Yarrowia lipolytica: one gene and its partners. Each later gene encodes a partner of the first gene's protein in a complex. Links are inferred from orthologs where the notes say so. Each region holds a gene or a part of one and is shown in the gene's direction. Other genes may lie near its edges.

What was found.
Region 2: YALI1_C06695g (region 1) and YALI1_F28212g share a complex: the UniProt entries of both Saccharomyces cerevisiae proteins name them as parts of the EKC/KEOPS complex. The link is inferred for Yarrowia lipolytica from reciprocal best matches to the Saccharomyces cerevisiae genes KAE1 and PCC1.
Region 3: YALI1_C06695g (region 1) and YALI1_F13046g share a complex: the UniProt entries of both Saccharomyces cerevisiae proteins name them as parts of the EKC/KEOPS complex. The link is inferred for Yarrowia lipolytica from reciprocal best matches to the Saccharomyces cerevisiae genes KAE1 and BUD32.

The regions. Positions count from the first base shown.
Region 1 is NC_090772.1:666,088-673,822, forward strand, and holds YALI1_C06695g (uncharacterized protein), read left to right. Parts: upstream 1-3,412; coding exon 3,413-4,483; downstream 4,484-7,735. Other genes in the region: YALI1_C06681g (uncharacterized protein), read right to left, coding at 439-2,037; YALI1_C06716g (uncharacterized protein), read right to left, coding at 4,635-5,600; YALI1_C06724g (uncharacterized protein), read left to right, coding at 6,348-6,596, 6,682-6,856, 6,933-7,099. UniProt on the Saccharomyces cerevisiae protein: Component of the EKC/KEOPS complex that is required for the formation of a threonylcarbamoyl group on adenosine at position 37 (t(6)A37) in tRNAs that read codons beginning with adenine.
Region 2 is NC_090775.1:2,816,073-2,822,868, reverse strand, and holds YALI1_F28212g (uncharacterized protein), read left to right. Parts: upstream 1-1,552; coding exon 1,553-1,572; intron 1,573-1,630; coding exon 1,631-1,877; downstream 1,878-6,796. Other genes in the region: YALI1_F28222g (uncharacterized protein), read right to left, coding at 1-603; YALI1_F28202g (uncharacterized protein), read left to right, coding at 2,625-5,483; YALI1_F28146g (uncharacterized protein), read right to left, coding at 5,652-6,796. UniProt on the Saccharomyces cerevisiae protein: Component of the EKC/KEOPS complex that is required for the formation of a threonylcarbamoyl group on adenosine at position 37 (t(6)A37) in tRNAs that read codons beginning with adenine.
Region 3 is NC_090775.1:1,302,476-1,308,971, forward strand, and holds YALI1_F13046g (uncharacterized protein), read left to right. Parts: upstream 1-2,196; coding exon 2,197-2,943; downstream 2,944-6,496. Other genes in the region: YALI1_F13023g (uncharacterized protein), read left to right, coding at 1-502; YALI1_F13039g (uncharacterized protein), read right to left, coding at 773-1,504; YALI1_F13072g (uncharacterized protein), read right to left, coding at 3,120-4,766; YALI1_F13079g (uncharacterized protein), read left to right, coding at 5,452-5,880; YALI1_F13088g (uncharacterized protein), read left to right, coding at 6,366-6,496. UniProt on the Saccharomyces cerevisiae protein: Component of the EKC/KEOPS complex that is required for the formation of a threonylcarbamoyl group on adenosine at position 37 (t(6)A37) in tRNAs that read codons beginning with adenine.

The DNA.
Region 1 (7,735 bases):
ATTTGAAGTGTATAGCCCTGCTTCGAAAGATTTTTTTGAACAATTGAGAAGTAGACGAACAAGAGAGAGTTGATACTCTGATAGCTGCCAACCATTTATACCCATTGTATCCTTTAGAGCTCCCAAAAAGCTCCCCTCTGGGATATTTTATCCTCCCTCATTCTCAGAGCTATTAATAGCAAGGTTGGAGATACGACACCATGGTCCAAAAATAGTCCAATATCGTTAAAACGTTTTCGGCACAGCCACAGCCGTGTGGTTCCTGGACGCGTTACATTAAACAAATGATTCATCTGTTGACAACAATCGACTATATTCACGGAGATCGGAGTTGCTTTTACTCCGAGCAACCTGGACTAATTACTGCATACAATAGATGAACTTGTATTGGATCTACCGATACTGGTACAGTATGTACTTGTACTATACAGAAAACACCTACTTCTGCTTAATCTCACCCTCCTCAAAAAGCCGGTCCACCGCCTTACCCAATCGCTTGATAGCCTCGTCGAGCAGATCGGGATCCTCATAGGCAAAAGTGAGTCGAATGAACTTGGCCGTTTGACGCAGCTCTTCGGAAGCAGCCATATTGGATCCAGAAACAATCAGAACTCCTTCCTCGATTCCAAGCTCCACCAGTCGCGACTGGTAGGGAAGAGTGACGCCATTAAACGACGAAGACGCAATCTTATCAAAATGAACAAGCGCAGACACAAACATACCACAGACAGGCGTGATGTAGGTGATCTTGGACTGGTCGAGCTTGTCCAGCTGGGCTAGAAGGTGGTTTCGTCGCTCCAGATACTGGTTTCGCAACAGAAGACACCAACGCAACCAGCCCTCAAGACCCCAAGAGTGAGCAATGTTGTTGATCAGCAGCTGAGAAACGCCGGAAGCGGCCCGGGTTGAAAGAGAAGTGTATAGAGATAGCTTCTCAATGAAGTTGACGTGACTGACAATCCACCCAAGTCGAAGTCCCGGAGAAAATACCTTGGAGAAAGTGTCAATTCGAACAACCAGTCCTACATCATCAATGGTGAGGTAAGAGGGAGCGATCAAGGAGGTGTAATGGTCGATATCAGCCTTGGAGATGTCGGATTCACGTGCCTCAGAGTCGACAGACTCGTCATGAGCCTTCTCCGGAGTGTTCAGAGACTTGGAGGAGTTGCCGTTGGTGAATTTCTTGTTGTAGGACTCGTAGGCCAGGGCTCCGTAGGGATCATCTTCGATGATGACGATCCCATGTTCTTTCAGAACAGCATAGATTGCTTTACGTCTCTCCAGAGACTGGGAGACTCCGTAGGGATTCTGGCCAGAAGGAACACTATACAGAACTCGGGGTTTGGGTCCCTGCTTGGCCTCATCCCAGTTTTCAAGGATCCGTTTGAGACCAGTCACGTCGAGTCCCTCGTCATAATCTAGCTTGATGGGAACAAGAATACCTCCGACAGATTTAATGTTGTCAAAGGAGGGAGAGAAGCAGTACTCCTCAACAAGGACATGGTCTCCAGGGTTAATGAGCAGGTCCACGGCCTTGTGAATACCGTCTCCACCGCCATTGGTGATGATCACGTTCCAGTCCTTCTCGTCCAGCTTGGGGGGATGGAGGCGCTTGGTGAGGGCCGTCACAAATTTCTTGAGCTGCGGGTGACCATCTTGTTCGCCGTACTGGAGAGATCGCTCGAGAGTCAGCTGGCCGCCATTGCCGTTTGTCGCAGTTTCCAGCGACTCGGCAAACTTGAGGATCTTGAGGTTCTGGCTCAACCGGGTGCTATTCTCGGTGATGTCGGGGAACTCGACCAGTCCTGGCTTGGAAAACAGAGTCGCAGCAGGCACAAATCGAGGTCGGGGATTGGGACTGGTGGTCAGATTGACGGTGATCTCGTCAATGGGGAACCCAATGGGGTTGGGAAGACCTCCAGAGATGAAAATCGGGTTGGAATGGGGTTTGGTTGTCTTGGCCGTCTGGTTGAGCGTGAAATGGGAATGAGACCGGGCCTTTGAACGGTCAGAAATGAACTTGTCGTGGAAGGACATGCTGGAAACAGTGATGATATAGTTGGTGTAACTGTAACTGTACGTGCTTTCAAAAATGTAGCTGAATGAAGCTGTCTACCTGGGGACCGGAATCAGAAAATGACAAATGGGGGCCGATTGAGTGGATTCCGTGACTGTTGTTTGTGTAACCGCGTTGTCTGTGTAACCGCGTCGTCTGTGTAACCGTGTCGCTTAGATAACCGCGTTGTTTGTGGTTTGTGTAACTAGATTGGAGTTTCTCTCTCCCTCAATTGGCGCCAACGTGTCTCCGGCAAACAGGTGGCTTATAAAGACACACAACAAACGGCATCATTACAAATAAGGTTGTTATCAAACCGACTATCGGAATCCGAAAATGTCAGAAGCGGGGTAATACCTCCGGGTTAACTGCTGTAGGGATGAAAATGAAATTGTAGACTAATTGAGACACAAAGTTTTGAAAAAACGTGTCGGTTTTATCACAGCTCGCCAGAAACACCATTAATGAGACTTATTCCGTCACCAAAAGCCACATGCATGATAAGGTAACCTGCACTGCGGGTGACGTGATCCTGAAATGGAAAGTATATCCGTGGGGTGAACGGGGAAGGATATTGCGATTCTGACCGTTCCAGTTTATTGGCACCAACACCAGGATCACGTGGTTTGTTTCAACATTCTTGTAGGACCAAAACTCATCCTGTGACACCACTCCATTGTAAGATGGATTAGATAAGCCCAGTTGAACTCAGAAATGTGGCAAACGACATTATTGTATCTTAGGAACAACATTTCGGGGGTCTCGGACATCCAAGCCACCTAAGAGGGAGTATTGGGGGTGATTGGTACGATCTTCGGAATCGGTTGTCTGTGCTGGTGATGGTTTTTTTTTTTTTTTTTCCCCCTTTTTTTTTCCTTTTTTTTTTCTTTCGATTCGTCGAAGAAGGAATATGAACTGGAAAGGTTCCCCAATTGGAACAGTGAGTATATCGACTACGCTGATTCTGAATGGATAGCCGAGGTATAGGTGACGTGCGTACTACGTTTTCCACAAGGTCCGTCTGAAAGCTGTGGTATTTTTGCAAGTAGAGAATGGAGTAATGTACTCGTAACTATTGTTCCAACTGGAGTATCCGTTTTAGTTGTTAGTTAGTTGGAACTGAAAATGTCATGGAAACCATCATAAATAGTAATTTTTCGAGAAACTAACACTCAGAAAAAGTAAAGAGAGTATAATTAGCGATATTAACCGTTTTTTCAGAAACAAAATTGCCCTAAATATACCAATATCACCGACTGGTAGTCCCCTTCCCATCGTGCGGCTCATCAATTAATAAGCTTTCCAACCCGACCATGCAGCTTTTGTATCTCAGTCAGTTTTTCAGACAACAGCACAATGACGACTTATCTGAGCTTGGGACTGGAAGGCAGCGCCAACAAACTGGGGGTGGGCGTAATCAAACACACGGTGACGGATGCCAACGCCGAAAACGGCTTTTCCACCGACATTCTGTCCAACATTCGAGACACCTACATCACTCCTCCAGGCGAGGGATTCTTGCCACGAGACACAGCTCGTCACCACCGAAACTGGGTGGTTCGAATCATCAAACGGGCACTCGACGAGGCCAAGATATCCGACCCTACAAAACTGCATTGCATTTCGTTCACCCAGGGTCCCGGTATGGGGGCTCCTTTGCAGAGCGTGGTGATTGCTGCACGAACCATTGCTCAAATGTGGGGAGTTCCGCTTGTGGGCGTCAACCATTGCGTGGGACACATTGAGATGGGCCGAACTATCACGGGCGCCACAAACCCCGTGGTTCTGTACGTCTCTGGAGGAAATACACAAGTGATTGCGTACTCCAAACAGCGATATCGAATCTTTGGAGAGACTCTTGATATTGCTGTCGGTAACTGCTTGGATCGGTTTGCACGGGTGCTGAAGATCCCCAACGCCCCCTCACCAGGATACAATATCGAGCAGCTAGCCAAGAAGGGCAAAAAGTACGTTCCATTGCCATACACCGTCAAGGGCATGGACCTGAGCATGTCTGGTGTGTTGCAGTTTGTGGAGTCTCTGGCAAAGCGGTTTCAGGCAGGAGATCTGGTGGTTGATGGACATCAGGTGACCGCCGAAGATCTGTGCTTTTCGCTACAAGAAACGCTCTTTGCCATGCTCGTCGAAATCACTGAAAGAGCCATGGCCCATGTCAACTCTCAGCAAGTACTTATTGTGGGAGGTGTTGGGTGCAACGAGCGACTCCAGGAGATGATGGGAATCATGGCACGTGACCGAAACGGCTCCGTCTACGCCACCGACGAGCGTTTCTGCATCGATAACGGTATCATGATTGCCCATGCTGGTCTTCTGGCATGGAGACAGGGCTTTGAGACGAAAATGGAAAAGACCCAGTGCACTCAGAGATTCAGAACTGACGAGGTACTGGTAGATTGGAGAGTTTAACACACACTCACAAGGAGTATGTATGGTATATATAAGTGTAATAATACACTGTAACGAGTACATGACGGTATGTACCTGTATTTAATGGTCGTGACTTTGATCATTGTATTACATTAGCTACAGTATTGCTTTTTTTTGCGAGTTTGGAGCTTTACAACTCATCTCGAATGGGAACCTCCTTCTGTTCGGGAACACCGCTGTCAGGAAGAGTATCGTCCAGAGGCTCAGACACAACTGGAAGCTCCAGGTCTATATCTGCTGCAATGGTAGACGACAGTGCCGTTTCCAACGTCTCCACCAAGGTATCCACCAATGTTTCCATGCCCACAGACGGAGTAGCTTCCACCACTGTATCGACTAACGTGTCAACCAACCCCTGCACAGGGTTACCTGGGTTTTTGGGAATCTTAGGACCACTTCCTCGAACGATTCCAAACAATTTGAGAAGGGGCCATGTGATGATCATCAGGGGGAGCTTCAACACCCGTCTGTATAGAATCCACGCCACCACAAGCGCCAAAAATCCCATAGAAGCCATCATTAGAATTCTGTCCTGCTTGTCAGCCTGTTCAAGATGTCGAACCAGCTTCTTGGAGCCTGCCAAAAGCACGTCAAAGGTGGTATACTTTTGCTGCAGCATCTGCATGTCACGCGACGATTCGTCCAGGCTCTCTAAGTGCATTTCTCCTCTCAGAACATTCTGAGAAGCCAGTTGATGAACCCGCTTGAGCGATTGAGTAATATCACGAGACTTGTTGAGCACTGCCTTTTCGCTGGCTTCCTCCTTGACTTCCTTGCGGCCCTCAAACAGCATTTGTCGTTCCTTGAGCAGCGATTTCTCCACATTCTTTGCACTGGTCACCTGGGCCTTTCGGTACAGCACACGCAGGTTGGCGATTTGTTCCGTATATGATTCGAGTGCGATCTGCGACGTCGTGTCTTGAGGGCATGTGGCCTTGTATCGTGCGAATTCCGTGTCCAGATCACGCAGTTTGGTCTGGATGAGGTCGGCCAGCTCTTGACGGACGTCTCGAGACGCCAGAGAGTGTGTACCAAACCGCTGAAGCCGTGAGATGAGTGACAGACATGTCTCAATAAGGGGATCGAGATTGGACATGGTGAATGTGACGAGTTGTGTGTGAGCTGTGTGTGAGTTGTGTGTGAGTTGTGTGTGAGTTGTGTGTGAGTTGTGTGTGAGTTGTGTGTGAGTTGTGTGTGAGGTACGCGTCGTTTAGTCGTTCAATGTGTCCTGTTGAGCTCAGGAATCCGTTTGTATCGTTTCTGTGTCACTTAACCAAACTATCCACGTGTCAATAATGCGAAATATTGTAGGAATGGCTGTTCTGTGGATGTTCTGAGGCGTGTGTCAAGAGATCCACTTGGTGATGTTGCTGCGTGTCAGAAGGTTATGTGGGGAGGTACTGTTCCTGTGGAGTATAAGTAGAGTAGCAACTGAGTGTGGAAGAGGAGTGATCTTGCGCAGGTTTTAGGATAGCTAGAAAGATAAAAACCCTCTCGTGAGAATCACAGAGACCTGATTATTAATTATATGTAATAAAACCCACATATTATCACTCAAGTTTGCCTGGTAAAAGCACAATACTTGTCAGTGCTGCTAAGGAGTTAAGCAGTCTGATGGGATGTTTACTTTGGGTGGGTATACTTGTCTACTTGCACATGTACAAGTACTTGTACAGAACAGGCCATGTGATAGTACAACTACGAGAGGATCATATTTCTGTGATAAAAGAACCCAGTTGACACTTCGGCGAACAGCAATGTCCTACTCCTATCTCTCCCTACCTATTCTTACTAAGCAAACCATACTCAGTTCGATTCCCAGTTCTATCCAACTCAACACACCATGTGGGCCAAAAACATCTCGTTCAGCGTCAAGGAAGCGTCACGAAACGGCTTCAAGGAGGCCGAGGCGCTGACAGTCAACTCCAGCGACGCCCAGCAAAAGGTGCTTAACGACATTCTGCTTGCCAGCAACACGCTTCGACAAAAGGTGGAAGAGACACATGTCGTGTTGAGCCAGGCGACGCCCCGAATCAGTGGATCGCTGGAGAAGACTGTTGGTGGAATGAAGAAACCCGATGAGCAGACACATGTACGCCCATCTACAGCTTGATCTCTGAACCGGGGAAGGTAAATGTTCGTGTCAGTCGCTATCTACACGCTAGCTGAGAATATAGATAGCCGCTGACAGACATGAGGGAGGGTCAGACGACATAAGAGGGACCAGAAGACATACGGAAGGGCTAGCAAACGTGTTTAGAGGTCAAAAAAACACGTCCAATGGGTCAGCAAATGCTTCGGACCGTCTAGCAGATTTGAATGAGCCACTCACTGAAGCTCGACAATGGCTTAGTGTGAGGTCTAGAGCTCTCCAAGAGCTCATTTGACACTCAAAGCACTTGTCCGACCTTTCAATGGTTGGACCCAGTTTTTAATAACAATGGAGTGGTCCTAGGAATGGATGAAGATCCTGCCCCATTAAACACGCGACTCATACAGCTGGTTTTAGATATCTTGATCCAGCTCCGATGTGCTAATAGTTTTCCTATACTTGCTACAAGCAACACGAAGGCAACACAAAGACATAATACTTAGACTAGATCTTGTAGAGGAATGTGTTTTGAAGACACCATCACAAGTATTTGCAATATAAGGACAACAAGATTCCTGTTCAACATTAACCCGTCATTTTGGTTTAGTAGAAAAACCACGGCGGATCTTCCTTGTTTTTTATTCTAGGTCCTCCACTTCGGGTATGGTCTCTTTGAACGAGGTGCAGCATTAAAGAACTATCAGAAAAGCCATGAATTACAGAAAGTGAGCTTTCAACCAGATTCGGAACATACTCCTTGTCTGTATTCATTGTTGTACTGGCTCCACTTATTCGATATTCGTCTTCAATGTCTCCAAGAAGACATTTCAAAAATTTGCGCACGTGACATATTAGACCCGGTGTAAGGGTCCTAACAATTTTAATCTTCAACGGTTGCGGCCATATCCTGGGTGAAAATACGGGCTTCCCGTCCCGATCAGCCCATAGTTCAAGCACCAGAGAGCCCAGTTAGTATTGTAGTGGGAGACCATACGAGAATCCTGGGTGCTGCAATCTTTTTTTCAGTTTTTTTCCATTCCTTTTGTCCTCTTGAGATTTTTTTGGTCATCTTCGTGCATGACGTCATGATCACGGGTTTTTAGAACCGACTCTAGCTTTCCACCCACCCAACTTGAAAC
Region 2 (6,796 bases), on another chromosome or scaffold:
ACCATGGTTGCCATCAAGAACGTCCTCCTCCCCCTTGCAATTGCCTCCACAGCCTTGGCCGCCCCCGCTGTCCACGAGGGTGCTATCCTCGAGGCTCGAGCAAACTCCACCATTGACGACTTCATTGATTTCGGTGGAGTCGTCCTCAAGACTGTCACCTCTACCCTTGACATCATCACTCACCCCGACAAGTCCAAGGGCACCGTCTACGACAACCTGCAGAAGGGTGTCACCCAGATCAACAACCTCTTCCCCACTCTGATTGACGACCTCAAGACTCTGCCCATTGTCGGTGACGTCGCCAAGACCCTTGGCCCTCTCATCATCAACCCCCTTTCCGAGGGCTTCGCCAAGGTGATGCAGCAGATTGCCATCACTATTATCTCTCTGTTCACTGACGGTCCCATCTCCACTATTGGTGACGTCTTCAGGAGCCTCTTCGGCAACTTCCTTGACTTTATCAAGCAGTTCATTGGCTCTATTGCCAACCTCTTCCCCTGGATGCACTCCGAGACTTCTTCCATGAAGTCCGCCTCTAACCGACTTGATCAGGCTTACTTCTCTGCCGCTAACAACTAAGCGACAGATACCCGACGATTCCATTAATTTAATTTATAACTCTACTTCTTACTCTCGGATGCTCGTAGATAATGTAGAAGTATCTACTGTGCAACCCTACTCTGTTTAGATCGACAAACGAGTCAAATAACATGAAGATCAGATGACTACGCCGCGCAAGGCTGTCCCTGAGAGACCGAGGGTGACTTGTATGAAATGGGGACAAAGTGTCCGTTTCTTGTATACTAGTACGAGTACTCGTAATTGAGCAGTTTCAGTGTCTGTTCAATGTCGAGCATCTCTCAGCCGACAACGAAACCTTCGTCTCGTATCATACGACCGAATCGGGGTTTCTGAAAGGCCTAAACTCTGCTGCAATTTGGTGAAAAATACATTTATTATGTATGTACTACATCAGCGGGCTTTACAAGGTGGTTTCTTGTAGAGTCTCTACGAAACAGCTTGTTACAGTACCCTTACAGTATCTCGTTGAAAGCCATTTTTTATCTCTCGTAAGAGTACTCAGAGAAGAAACCATTTATATGCCTCTGGTTGCAAGCCTCACAATGCAATGACAGTATTGCTCTATTGCTCTTGTTTCTCTCAGCTACAAGTACCGGTACCCAGGCAAGGACTCTTCCAAGAGACGATCCCCAAGTATCCCCGGATATCAAGTTTACCAAAAGTCTACAGCCGGTTTTAAAGGTCCGAAAGCAAGCGTAAGACTATTGGGGGTGATAAGAGCACGTGGAAGCTCATAGGCTTCAAGTTTTATAAATCGAACGACTCACACTTGGAGCACATGATTGGATTAGTAATATGCAATGAAATATCCATTTCAACGGCTCTCGTATTGTTCTCTGATCTATCCATCTTATTCCACATTTAATCACATTTAATCACATTTAATCACATTTAATCACATCTTAGTCACAATCCAACAAAGTTCAGGACCTACATGCAACCGTAGAAACGTTTCACACCAATATCAACCATGCCAGGCAAATACACACTGTGAGTAGGAGAATGTGGGGGAAGCCACAACACTCGCTTTGGACACGAACTAACACAGTGACGTGGAGATTCCGTTCCCCAATGACAGACAGGCTCAGATTGTCTGCACCACAATATCTCAGGACAAGCCTCTCAAGGCCGACGAGCTGAGCCATGAGTTGACCACCAAGGGTTCCAGTCTGTTGATTCATTTTGCCGCTGCATCTAACCGGTCTTTGCGAGTCGGTGTCAACAACATGATGGACAACATTGGCACTGCCATTGAGTGTTTGGACGAGCTGGATCTCGACAAGTTTGGACCATAAGTGAGAGATAGCGAGTGAAGATGGAGGGCACTTATGAGGCCGCAGGAGGGGCACGGCGGTGTCAAGCTGGCATACTGGCACCTCAATATCTGGACAGAGTGTGATCATTTCCCTAGCAACTGATTAGTCATCACACAAACGCCGATGTCTGAATAAATTTCCCTAGATTTGCAGCAGTTGTAACTGTCCCTGGACGGCACCAGAGGCAAACCTGCGAACCAGAAAAGGCAAACGTGTAAAACCAATAAACATCAAATAATCAGCTAGTTCGGGTGTGATATCAAGGACCAATGGTGTAGAACCGTTAACAAAAACAAGTACAGGTATGTCGTGTGTGAGTGAGCATTGTCATGTTGCATGCCACCTGAGATAGGTGAGGAAGACGCAGATCTCATTGCAGCCATGTCTCAAGAACTGATCAGACAGGGAGGCCATTCTTGTTACTCATTTTAAAGCATAATGACCAACGCCGTCTCCAAGACTAATTGAGATTGTTACTGTAGACTAATTTACGGTGGCAATTTCACAGAAATTACGGCCTTCCCTTTGTGGGCGTCCCAACTGACTAAGCAATCGTAAGCGCAGTTGTGTATGTAATCCTAACTAAGGTAATTTATATCACTCAGCATACGTACATTACGACCAGCAGCAGCCAAGACGGAAATATTGCACCCCGCATCGCACTCTCCGTCGCCTACTCACCACCCTAGCCATCATCCCAGAGAATGCGGCGAATGAACGCATATAATGGCCAACAATAAAGAGCGAAAACGAAGCCACAAGAAAACGCCGAATCAATCCGTGTCTTCCGCACAGTCTGAAACCGCCAAACGTCCCGCCAGAAAGAAGTCGCCCAAGCCCTCCACGCCGGCGTCTCGCAACAAGAAACCCGTCACCGAAGGTTCCGTTTCGAAACCCGCAAATCGACCCAACACCGCCAATGGCAGACGCGGAGATCGGGAACGTAAGCCCTCACCATCTGTGGTGTCACGAGGCTCAGCAGCTGCGACTATGACTATGACTCCTGAGCCTAGCAGCGTGCCTCTGCAGCCCTGCCAGGTCACCCCGGCCATCCATTCGTCGCATCTGACCGTGCCTTCTGCGCTGACAGAAGATCGAAAACCGACACCCAAGAAACGCCGGTCGAGAGATACAGCCTCCAACCAACCCAACAAACGAAGTGAAGACATGCGGGAAGAGCAAGACAATGATGCCACCATGTCCTCCCCGACCGCAAGTACCACATCCACTGCCTCTATGATGAGTACTCCAACTCCCACACCTGCATCTCCTGCCAGGTCGGCTGTCCACCAGGAACTTCAAAACATCTACCACCGAGTGTGCCAGCTGGAAGATCAGTGTGGACGACTTATGCAGAAACTCGCACAGGAGATTCCTCAGAAGGACGAACCATGCATCACACAGCATACTGACATTCGTCAAGAGCGTCTCAACCGTCTACTGGCAGATGCCACTAAGCGGCATGCTGCTCTACTGGACGCCCACTACGATTTCCTTCGAGCAGCTCACTACAACGACTCTACGTCACTTCGTGGACTGGTCAACAAGTACGACATCCCTAGCAGACTGTGGTCCCGAGGAGTGTATGCCTTTGTGCACATTGCCCGGAACCTGCAGCCTTACGCGGCCCGTTACCTGAATGACCACCTGAGACACTGTGCCCAGACACTCCTCTTGTTAGCAGAGCCCTACTTTGACCGTGAAGCTGACGGCAAAAATCTTCCCTCTTGGACCGAAGCTGTTGGGGATCTCGCTCGTATTGGCATGTCTGTTCGAACAGATGATGCCGTTTACTGGCGTGGAGTAGCCCATTGGTGGTACAGCCGAACTCTTCTCACATACAACGACAATGGGCGGCCTCACCACCACTTTGCTCTAGTACTTGCATGCCGTCTGGAGTCATTATTGTCTCTCTGTCGTGCCACACTTTGTATGGTTCCGTTTGCACCCGCTTCTAATACAATGGATGCCCTGTTCAACGCTGGGGCAGCCAAGATGCAGCGACAGGGCGAACGCGAACCCCTCGAGGTGGTCGTGGACTCCTTCGTCTCCGTTCATGAAGGAGTCACCAAGGGTCGCTTTCCCAACATCCGTCAGAAGCTCATTTCCTTGGGCGCTGTCATTGCTCGAACTCCAAGCCCCTTCTTGGCATCTCGATCTGCCATGTTCGCTGCCATAAACATTGCTGGCTTGCATGAGTATGGTCGGGGAGCTCTAGCTGGAGTGTGGAGAAACAGTGTGGACGAAGAAAACGTTGTTGTTCCCAGTCCGAACAAATATGTTGCATTTCACATTCTTCGTGCCCATCTAGCTCTCACATCGGATAAGGCTCTTCCTCACATTATTCCCTGGCTGCTGTTCATGTTGGCTCTAACCAAACACCCCAAAGTGTTCCTCGAGGTGCTCGACCATAGGTTCCCTTGGAAGGATATGCTGTGGTATCTCAACGAGATCCAGCGTAAAACTGCCCGAGTTCCTGTTGACAACAACGACACAACTGGGTCCAATTTTAATTTCAAAAAGGCCCCTCCCCCTCGCGAACTCCCCCCAGCTCCCAAGGGCTATGTTTCCAAACTCCCCGAAGAGCTGCTTCTACGAGGCTTCTCATGGGCCAAAGAGGTCTTGTCTTGTCCTTTTGACAGTGATACTCAAGACATTGTCAACACCATGTCTCTGGGTGGCCAACTGGACTACACTCTTGGAGAATGTACTAGGCTCGAGCGTGCTCAGGATCTCATCAGACAGCTATGTGATACTCGACTGTTAAAACTGGGTGATTCCGGTCTTGAACAGGATCCCGAGCTGACTTCTTGTCTGGCATCCAAAACAGAAGCTCCTGACTACATCTCCGAGTACGAAGCATACCATGAGTTTCTGCCCGATATTGGTGGAGAGAGCTCGTCAGTGACTTCTGATGACATTCAATCATTGTGCAAAAAACGAGACATGGTGCGCCAGGAGTGTGGCGTTCAGTCCAAGATTGAAAACCTGGAACTGACCACTTCGCCTCTGGCAGGTGAACGAAAGCCGGCCATTATTTTCGATACCAATCTATGGCTGAACGAACTGGAGTTCATCGTCACTGTGGTTGAGAGCGGTTGGCTGCGCATCAAAGTGCCTGTTATGGTCATGCACGAGTTGCAGAAACTGCAGACATTTAACCGTGACGTCCGAACGAGCACCCTAGCGCAACAGGCTCTGGCCTATATCAAGTCCAAGGGCCAAGGATCGAGTCTAACCATTGTTGGTCTCGATGGAGCTGCTCTCAACGAGCAAGCTTGTGCCGAAGGTGTTGTTCGCTTTACCAACGACTACGGGGGGCTGCCCAAACGTGGCCAGCCTACCATGGATGAGCTCATCACTCGAACCGTTTGCAAGTTGCAAAAGGGCAGTCGTGGGGGCGTTGTTCGAGCTCTGCTTGTCACCAACGACAAGAACATGCGTATCTTGGCTCTGACACAATCTGTGGCAGTGTCCTCTGGTGCCGAGTTCATGAACATGTACGGAGAGGAATCTGGAGAACGCCGCAACGAGACTCCTGGAATTCGATCCATGCGAAGCAGAAAGAGCGAGCTCAGTGTATAAATAGCTAACTTATTGGTATTCCATATCACATCCGTCGACGTAGTTCTTCTCATATCCTTATACTACTAGTAGAAAATCGTACTGAAAAAAAAATATCATCGCATTACATTGGTATATTTTATTACTGTCATTGCATCATGTATCTATAGTTTTTTTTTTGTCATCCCCTTACCAAGTGAGCTTGAGAGCGTCGTACTTGAGCCGATCTGCGTCAGTGACTGAAGGTCGGATCTTGTTGAAGGCTTCCTCAAAATGGTGGTTAGTAATCTCAATGCTGCTTGGAGGAGCTGCCTTGTGATCGTGAATTATTTCAGCTCCATGGGTGAACACTTGCTGTCTGAGAGCCATGAGACCAGCCTCGTTGGCCAGCTGGGTGAGATCGGCACCGGAGTAGTTTCCACATCGAGAGTCCGCAACGATGTTCCGCAAGTTGACATCAGCAGCCAGGGGTCGCTTTCGACACACCTTCGACAGAATTTCAAACCGTTCATTCTCGTCGGGCAAGCCCACAAACAGAGTCTTGTCCAGACGACCGGGTCGAACCATGGCGGGATCAATAATATCTGGTCTGTTAGTGGCAGCGATAACGTACACACCTCTTCGCTCAGTGAGACCGTTAAGCTCGGTAAGAAGAGTGTTGACAAGTCTGGAAGAATGCTCGGATCCGCCGTCGTCTCGTCGAGGAGCCAGAGAGTCAAACTCATCAAAGAAGATAATGCAGGGTGACGATAGAGCAGCTCGCTCAAACACCTGTCGGATAGCACGTTCACTTTCACCCACGTACTTGTTGAGAAGCTCGGGTCCTCGTACAGAGATGAAGTTGGCGGCAGTTTCGGAAGCCACAGCCTTAGCAAGCAGGGTCTTACCACAACCAGGGGGTCCCCACAAAAGCACTCCTCCAGGAGCATCAACACCAACCATCTTGAACAGATCCGGTTGTCGAATGGGTTGGACAATGGCCATGTGAAGCTCCTGTCTAACCTGAGCCAGAGCACCAACGTCCTCCCAGGAGACATCGGGAACAGTTGCGAATCCTTCTCGCTTGGAAGAGGGCTGGATTAGAGGAATAGCCATCAGGAAATCATTGAGGGCAATGACCATGTTCTGAAGTTGAGAAGCAGTCAGGGGGTTGGGGAACATTCGCAGGAAATCAACCCAAACAGAAGTATGAGGGGGGTTGGGGAGAGTGATAACAGTAGTGGGCTTGGGGGTCTCAACAGGCGTTTCAACGGGCTCTTCCTTCACATCACCGGCACTTATGCTGTCTGTTTCAGTCTTGACAGCTTCAGTGGGCTGCCCATCTTGGGGGGCAC
Region 3 (6,496 bases), on another chromosome or scaffold:
TTCGACACCAATGACCAAACGTGAGTACTGTGCTAGATTTGCAGTTGGAAGTCCCCCTCTTGCCGCCCTTGTTACTAACACAGCACATCCACTACTCTCACAGGTACCCCTGATTGTATCGCCGTCGATTCGACCCCCACAAGCCGTGACGCTGCCATTCGAGTACAAGTCGTTACCGGCCAACATGCCGCAGGCGGTCAATGAAGACGATATTCTCGACACACTCGGGCAGCTGAGTCAGAAGCTGGAACAGCTGGAGCAGGATCATAGAGCCGCGGTAGCGACATACCAGAGCTGGCGGGAGAACGTGGACCAGCAGACCCGGGAAGAACAGCGCAAGATTGCTCCTGGATACCTGGATTCAGTGGACCGAATTCTGGTGCCTCAGAAGAGGACCGAAACTGTGGAGCAGGAGCAGGAGATGGACACCGAGGAGGACGGCAAGGAGGAGGAGCCCGTCAATGAGCTGGACAAGGCCTTTGGAAAGGTCGGGCTGGAGTAACCACGCCGGTTGGATATTGAACTATTTGCATATTATGAACGTTATGATTGACTGTTAGGTGTGAGTAGATAGTCTACGAGTACAAGTAGCTACTATTTCACAGATAATGTATAAAGGAGACGGGTGGACTTATCTGTTATTGTAGACCTTCACAAACAATGCCAATCCATTGCTACAATTGAACACGTTACAAACATTCCCTGTATTAAGTCCATATTCCCCCCCCCCCCCCCTCTCTACCCATCCAAACGTGCGTCAATCTCTATCTGTTCACGACTCACTGAGCATAGCCTCGAGGAAATGCTCGGGATCGGGTTGCTTGGCCGTCACATCCACCTTGATGTCATTCTTCTGTAGGTAGTCCAATGTGGTAGGTCCTATACTGGCAATCTTGAAGCCATGAGCAGGGTTCTTTTTGAGATACTCCACAATCTGAGCGGTGCCAGAGGGAGCAAAGAAACAGATCCAGTTGTGCTTGGCGTCGGGGAGCGCCCCCACAGCCTTCTCAAACCGTCCAGCAATGTCGTCCAGATCAACAGTCTCATAAACAGTGTACTCCACCAGACTTCGTCCAGCCTCTCTTAACTTGTTGGGGATGGTGTCTCGTCGCACCTTTCCTGCGTAAAAGGCAAATCGCTGGTATCCATCCGACAACAGTTGCGGCACAAGAGCGGCTCCATTACCCGTCTCTTCTCCTCGAACGTCCTTGAAGCCCAGTTCGCGGAGACACCTTGCGGTAGCCGGACCAACGGTGTATGCAGGTTTGCAGAGCAGCTCTGGACTGGCGTATTCTCCGAGGATTTCAACTGCGCGGTGAGAGGTGACAATCACGGCGTCAATACCATCCACCTCGTTGGCAATGTGTGTTTTGAGAGATTCGATTCCGACCGGAGAATGCTGCAGAAGAGGCACAAAAACAGCATTGTGACCCTTCTGCTCGACAAACAGCTCCTGGTAGAAATCTCGCGGCGTCGTAGGGTTCTTGAGCAGTAGGATGTTCATGATTTCCCGGGGTTGCGTGTAGCTGTAGAGAGATAGAGCTGAGTCAGATCTGGGGTCTGCATGCTGATGATCTCAAGTCACGTGATACAAATCTACGTATATCTGGAGATGGTGGATTGTGGGCGAAAAACGAAAGGGGAAATGGGCTAAGAGCACGCTGTTGCTCCTTAGGACATTTTTCACCGTTCTATGAAACTGGACATTGTCATTGGATGGTGGAAAGTGTGTGTACAATGTTAGGGTGAAACTTCTGATTCTTGTAGCACTTTTGGGAACAGGAGAGGCACTGAAAGATGGTATATTTGGCTGTGAAGACCTATTAGTGAATACATGATCATATTGGATATATCATTCTGATTCGATTAATGTTGAAAAACAGTCATTTTGAGGCTTCTTCACACCCAAATAGTTGTTGTCGTCAGGAGAAAAATGGTCAACTAAACTCAAGTATATTATAGAGTAACTTCAAGTAAGAACATGTCCACTCCATATATCCCCCTGGGGAGATAAATAATACAATAAAACCTGATGATATCAAAAAATCCAACATTACCTATATCCATTTGCAACTCTTCTCTCATCTCCCCTATACCCCATTTTACACCGGTCTAAATTCTCTCTGATCACATGACTGGAAATAAATTGTATCAAGCTGCATATCGTCTCCTAGCCTTAACCACCACCACCACATCATGATCACACTTCCAGAGCAGCTGGAGAAGCTGTCCAAGCAGGAAAATCTCATTGCACAAGGCGCTGAGTCGTTGGTGTATTCCGCCCAGCACCCCTACCTCCCCCAACAAGAATGCATCGTTAAATACAGACCCAAGAAGCCATATCGTCTTCCGGAACTTGATGCCCAGCTCAGCAAACACAGAACGCTGGCCGAGGCCCGGGTGTTGCAGAAGCTGGCTCTTGGAGACGTGGAAGTGCCCCATCTGGTCTTCATCGATGCCAAAAACGGACTCATCTACATGGAGAAGATCGAAGGTCTGAGTGTGAAGCAGTGGATCTGGAACGAGGAGGGAGACACCGAAGGAGGGGCCCAGGAGGCCGGAGATAAGAGCAGATCGTTACCGGATGGTGACGTGTCTTCTCTGAAGGACACCCTGGTTCTTGTCGGCCAAGAAATCGGCAAGTTGCATAAATCTGACATTGTCCATGGCGATCTGACCACTTCGAACGTCATGTTGAGAGACGGCAAGCCTGTCATCATCGACTTTGGACTCGCTTCCGTGTCCACTCTGGCCGAAGATAAGGCTGTGGATCTATATGTCATGGAGCGAGCCGTTCTCAGTACTCATCCTGTCCACAGTCAACAGTACTGCGACTGGTTGTTTGAAGGATACCTGGCTGTTGTCGGCAAGAGTCAGAAAGAGGTGATGCGAAAACTGGAGGATGTTCGACAGCGAGGACGAAAGCGGTCCATGCTAGGTTGAAGTGACGACTGCGTAATGAATTATGTACGAAAATCACAACAAAACCATACCTAACATGAATATTGATTGTATATCAGATATTGTACCATCGAAAGATGTTCGGAATTAGCATTCACACACTGCACAGACACATCGTCTTCCCGCTATTAGGTAATATACATTATGCTATAAGTTATCTACAACAATCCCTGACGCTTGAGATCCTCGTAGGTCTTCTCACTCATGGCGTTTCCATCGCTATCCTCCACCTCGACAATGTTTTCTTCTCGAGTCTCCACCGTCTTGAGCTGTTTCTTCATTCGGTCCCACAATGCATTGGCCTCCTCAATCTTGGTGATGCCTTTAAATGCCTGAGACGGCTCGATACCAAGACATCGGAGTCCAAAGATGTGTCTGGGTGTGGAAAAGTGCTTGTCAAAGATCTTTCGGCCCCGGTAGGTGGTATTTCCACAGATCTCACATGTGTACTCAATTCCCAAACCATGCAACTTATACAGCCAGAAAGGAATGGGTTTTCCGTCCCACCCAAGAGGCAGCTTGAGAGGGTTGGAGATGACCTCATCTTCGTCTTCGTCATCTTCATCTCCAGTCTTTTGTTTCTTGGACCAGGGGGAGCCATCGCTCTGCTGTCCGTATCTGAGGTTTTCGTCAGTAAGACGGTCCTGGTCCTGCTGAGCCGCGATTTCAGCCTGTCTCTCGGAATTAGTCAGCGCTTGCTTCCGTTCCAAATTGGCAACGGTGCTGTCAATAGTCGACTTCAGGAATTCAGCCAGTTCTTCCAGATGGGCCAAAATCGTCTCAGGAGTCCGAGCGGCTGCAGTAGAAGCCTTGGGAGCAGATGTAGGTGTAGGGGTTTCACCACTCTCAGCTCGGGCAACGGCCTTCTTATGCTTCTTTCCAGGCAAATGGTTGTCGTAGACAGCCTGGTTGGTGAACTGTTTGTCACAGAACTTACAGAACAACTCAGGGTTCTCCTCCTTGTCCTGCTTGGAATCAGTCACTTTTATTGACTTTCGAATCGAGTCAATCGTCTTCTGAGGGTCCTCCAGAATGTGCTTCTTGGTGATAAACGACTCCAAATACGAGACGATGGACTCGAGGAACACAGGGTACTTTTTGCCCAGAGCCGCACACGTCTGGGGGTCATAAATGTCGACGTTGTAAAAGGATTTGATGAATCCAATGTATCCCACATGACCCATTCTCTGCTGCTGGTATTCAATGTATAGAGGGGTCATGTCGAGGTATCTGCCCGAGTTTTCGGCGTCTGTGTATTTCTGGCCAAAATTGATCTTTCGAGCTGTGTTGAAAATGCCTGAGGGAAGCGTGTTGCTCTCAGCCTGGCTCATAACGCTCTCCTCCTGTTCTCCGTCGTCTTCAAACACGTCTAGAGCCGGTCGTTTGAGAGTGTAGTTGGCGTACATATCTTGAGCTTGTTCTCCGGGCACCAGTGTCTGTTTGATCTTGTCGATTTTGGCGTAAAAGTCCGTCATGACGCCTTTGAGTTCCTTGGAAGACAGATTTCGAGACCCAGATTTGCCTCTGGGGGCGTCGAGTTCGGCCTTGAGCCGTCGAGCCAGCTTCTGGTACGTATCCAGCATCGTGGCAATCTCGTGCTGGCGCAGCACTGTCTGCCTGTGGGTTGTGGGGGTGCCTACTTGTCGTGTGAAGGGCACATTTTTCAGCTTCTGTAGTCTCGGTTGGAGAGGTGAGTTGGGGGTCAGGGCCTGTGAAGGAGGCAGAATGAGCGGGTTGAAGGCCAGTCGCTCGGCAATACCGGCCTCGATCACCTCCATTTCCTCCAGAGCAGCTCTGGTTGTCATGTTGTGTTTAGGATGATGGTGATGATTTGAGAGAACAGTATTAATGAACGAGATTTATTTCACTTTAGGTGGTGCATGCATGCACGTAGTGGATCTGGGGACGATGGTTAGAAGATCTTTAACAGGCATTGTTTGTATGACAGGTGAGTGGTTTTTTCCCTAGATTCTTGTCAGAAAAGATTTCTAGGACTCAATTATGACTTGAATGGCGGTTTCTACTTACTCAGTGACTCAGTTACTCAATTACCGACTCTGTTTCGTCACAGCTTTCATGAAGTATCATGTCAAGTAAGCACACAACTCCCAACTAAGCTGGGTGACTACAGTAGTAACAAAATGTATATAAAAAGGTTATTCTTTCAAAGCAAAGTTATAATTAACTGAATGTATATGCAGAAATTATAATACAGTATATATATAACTATATATATAAACCGTTTACAATGATTGAGACATCACACACAACAATTCACTATAAGCACTATAGTTGCAGTAGACGTATTATAACGAAAAAACCCTTCTCCAACAGTGCTACGTCCACACCACCTGCCACTGTCAGCACTAATGCATTCTTCCTCATCTATCATACCCACGTGCTTGGAGGTGCAGTATCTCCACGGCGCGCGACGATAATTTTATAGTGTGGAAATCAATTGTCAAACTTGCACCTATCAACACACACACAATGATCCCGCGACAACCGCCACCAGCAGGCCCTCTGGGCACAGACTTTGACTACTCCGTCGCCGGTGTTGCCGGTGTACTGGTCGCTCTGGGCGCTCCCTGGCCCATGGGCCAGATTGCCGAGGTGTTGTCCGACAAGCAGCTTGGACTGGCCTTCTTCACCATGTTTCTGCACGTTATGTACGTCGGAGGACTGGTGACGGAGGCGTGTTTCCCGGCCAACTTTGTGACCACGGCCATAAAGATCCCCAAGCCCATTTTTCTCGCCACCAAGGTGGTCTACATTGCGTTTGCATCGTGGGAGTTTTCTGGCCATGGCGACATGTCTCTCTACCTGGTGGGCATTCTGCTGGCTACTCTGGTGTTGACCGAGTTGGGAGCAGCTCTGAAGGCTAACAAACATACTGCCCAGGACAAGAAAACGCAGTAGAGATGGGCCAGAAGACGGAGAGACAGTGAATATTTGTATTTTTAGTTGATTGGTATGAATCTAATTACTTGTAGTTGCCGTACGTCCGCCGGAGCTGGCCAATTGTACAAGTAGATGGGAGTTCACGTTGAATCGTGTTAGTCAGTTGAAAGCAAAAGGCTGGACCGCACCCCCTAAGTAGAATGAGCTTATTTACCCACTGGAAAGTAGTGAAGAACACCCAGACGACGGACTGGTTAGGAGCCGCCGATGCAAGAGATGTAGTCACGTGATGTGATTTGAGGTGAGGAAATGAGATCTCATGACTATAAATGACCCCCGCCGTCTCTCCCCCGTCTTCGGGGACTCAGTCACTCACTCTCTACCTCTCTCATCTTTCAACATGTATGTACTGTACACACGATACCCCACTTAAAGTTGCCTAATGCGAGATAACCGAGACCAAACAAGTGAGCGATTTGCGCTTGTCCTCACTGAACCCCCAAATGTCTGAAGTTGCCGAACTGCGAATGGAGATGGAGCGCGAGCTGGAGCTGCTGCGTAGCGAGGTGGACGAGCTCAAGTCGCAGCTGATCCAGCAGGACGCGGAGCGACACGAGGCCCAAAAGAATCAGGG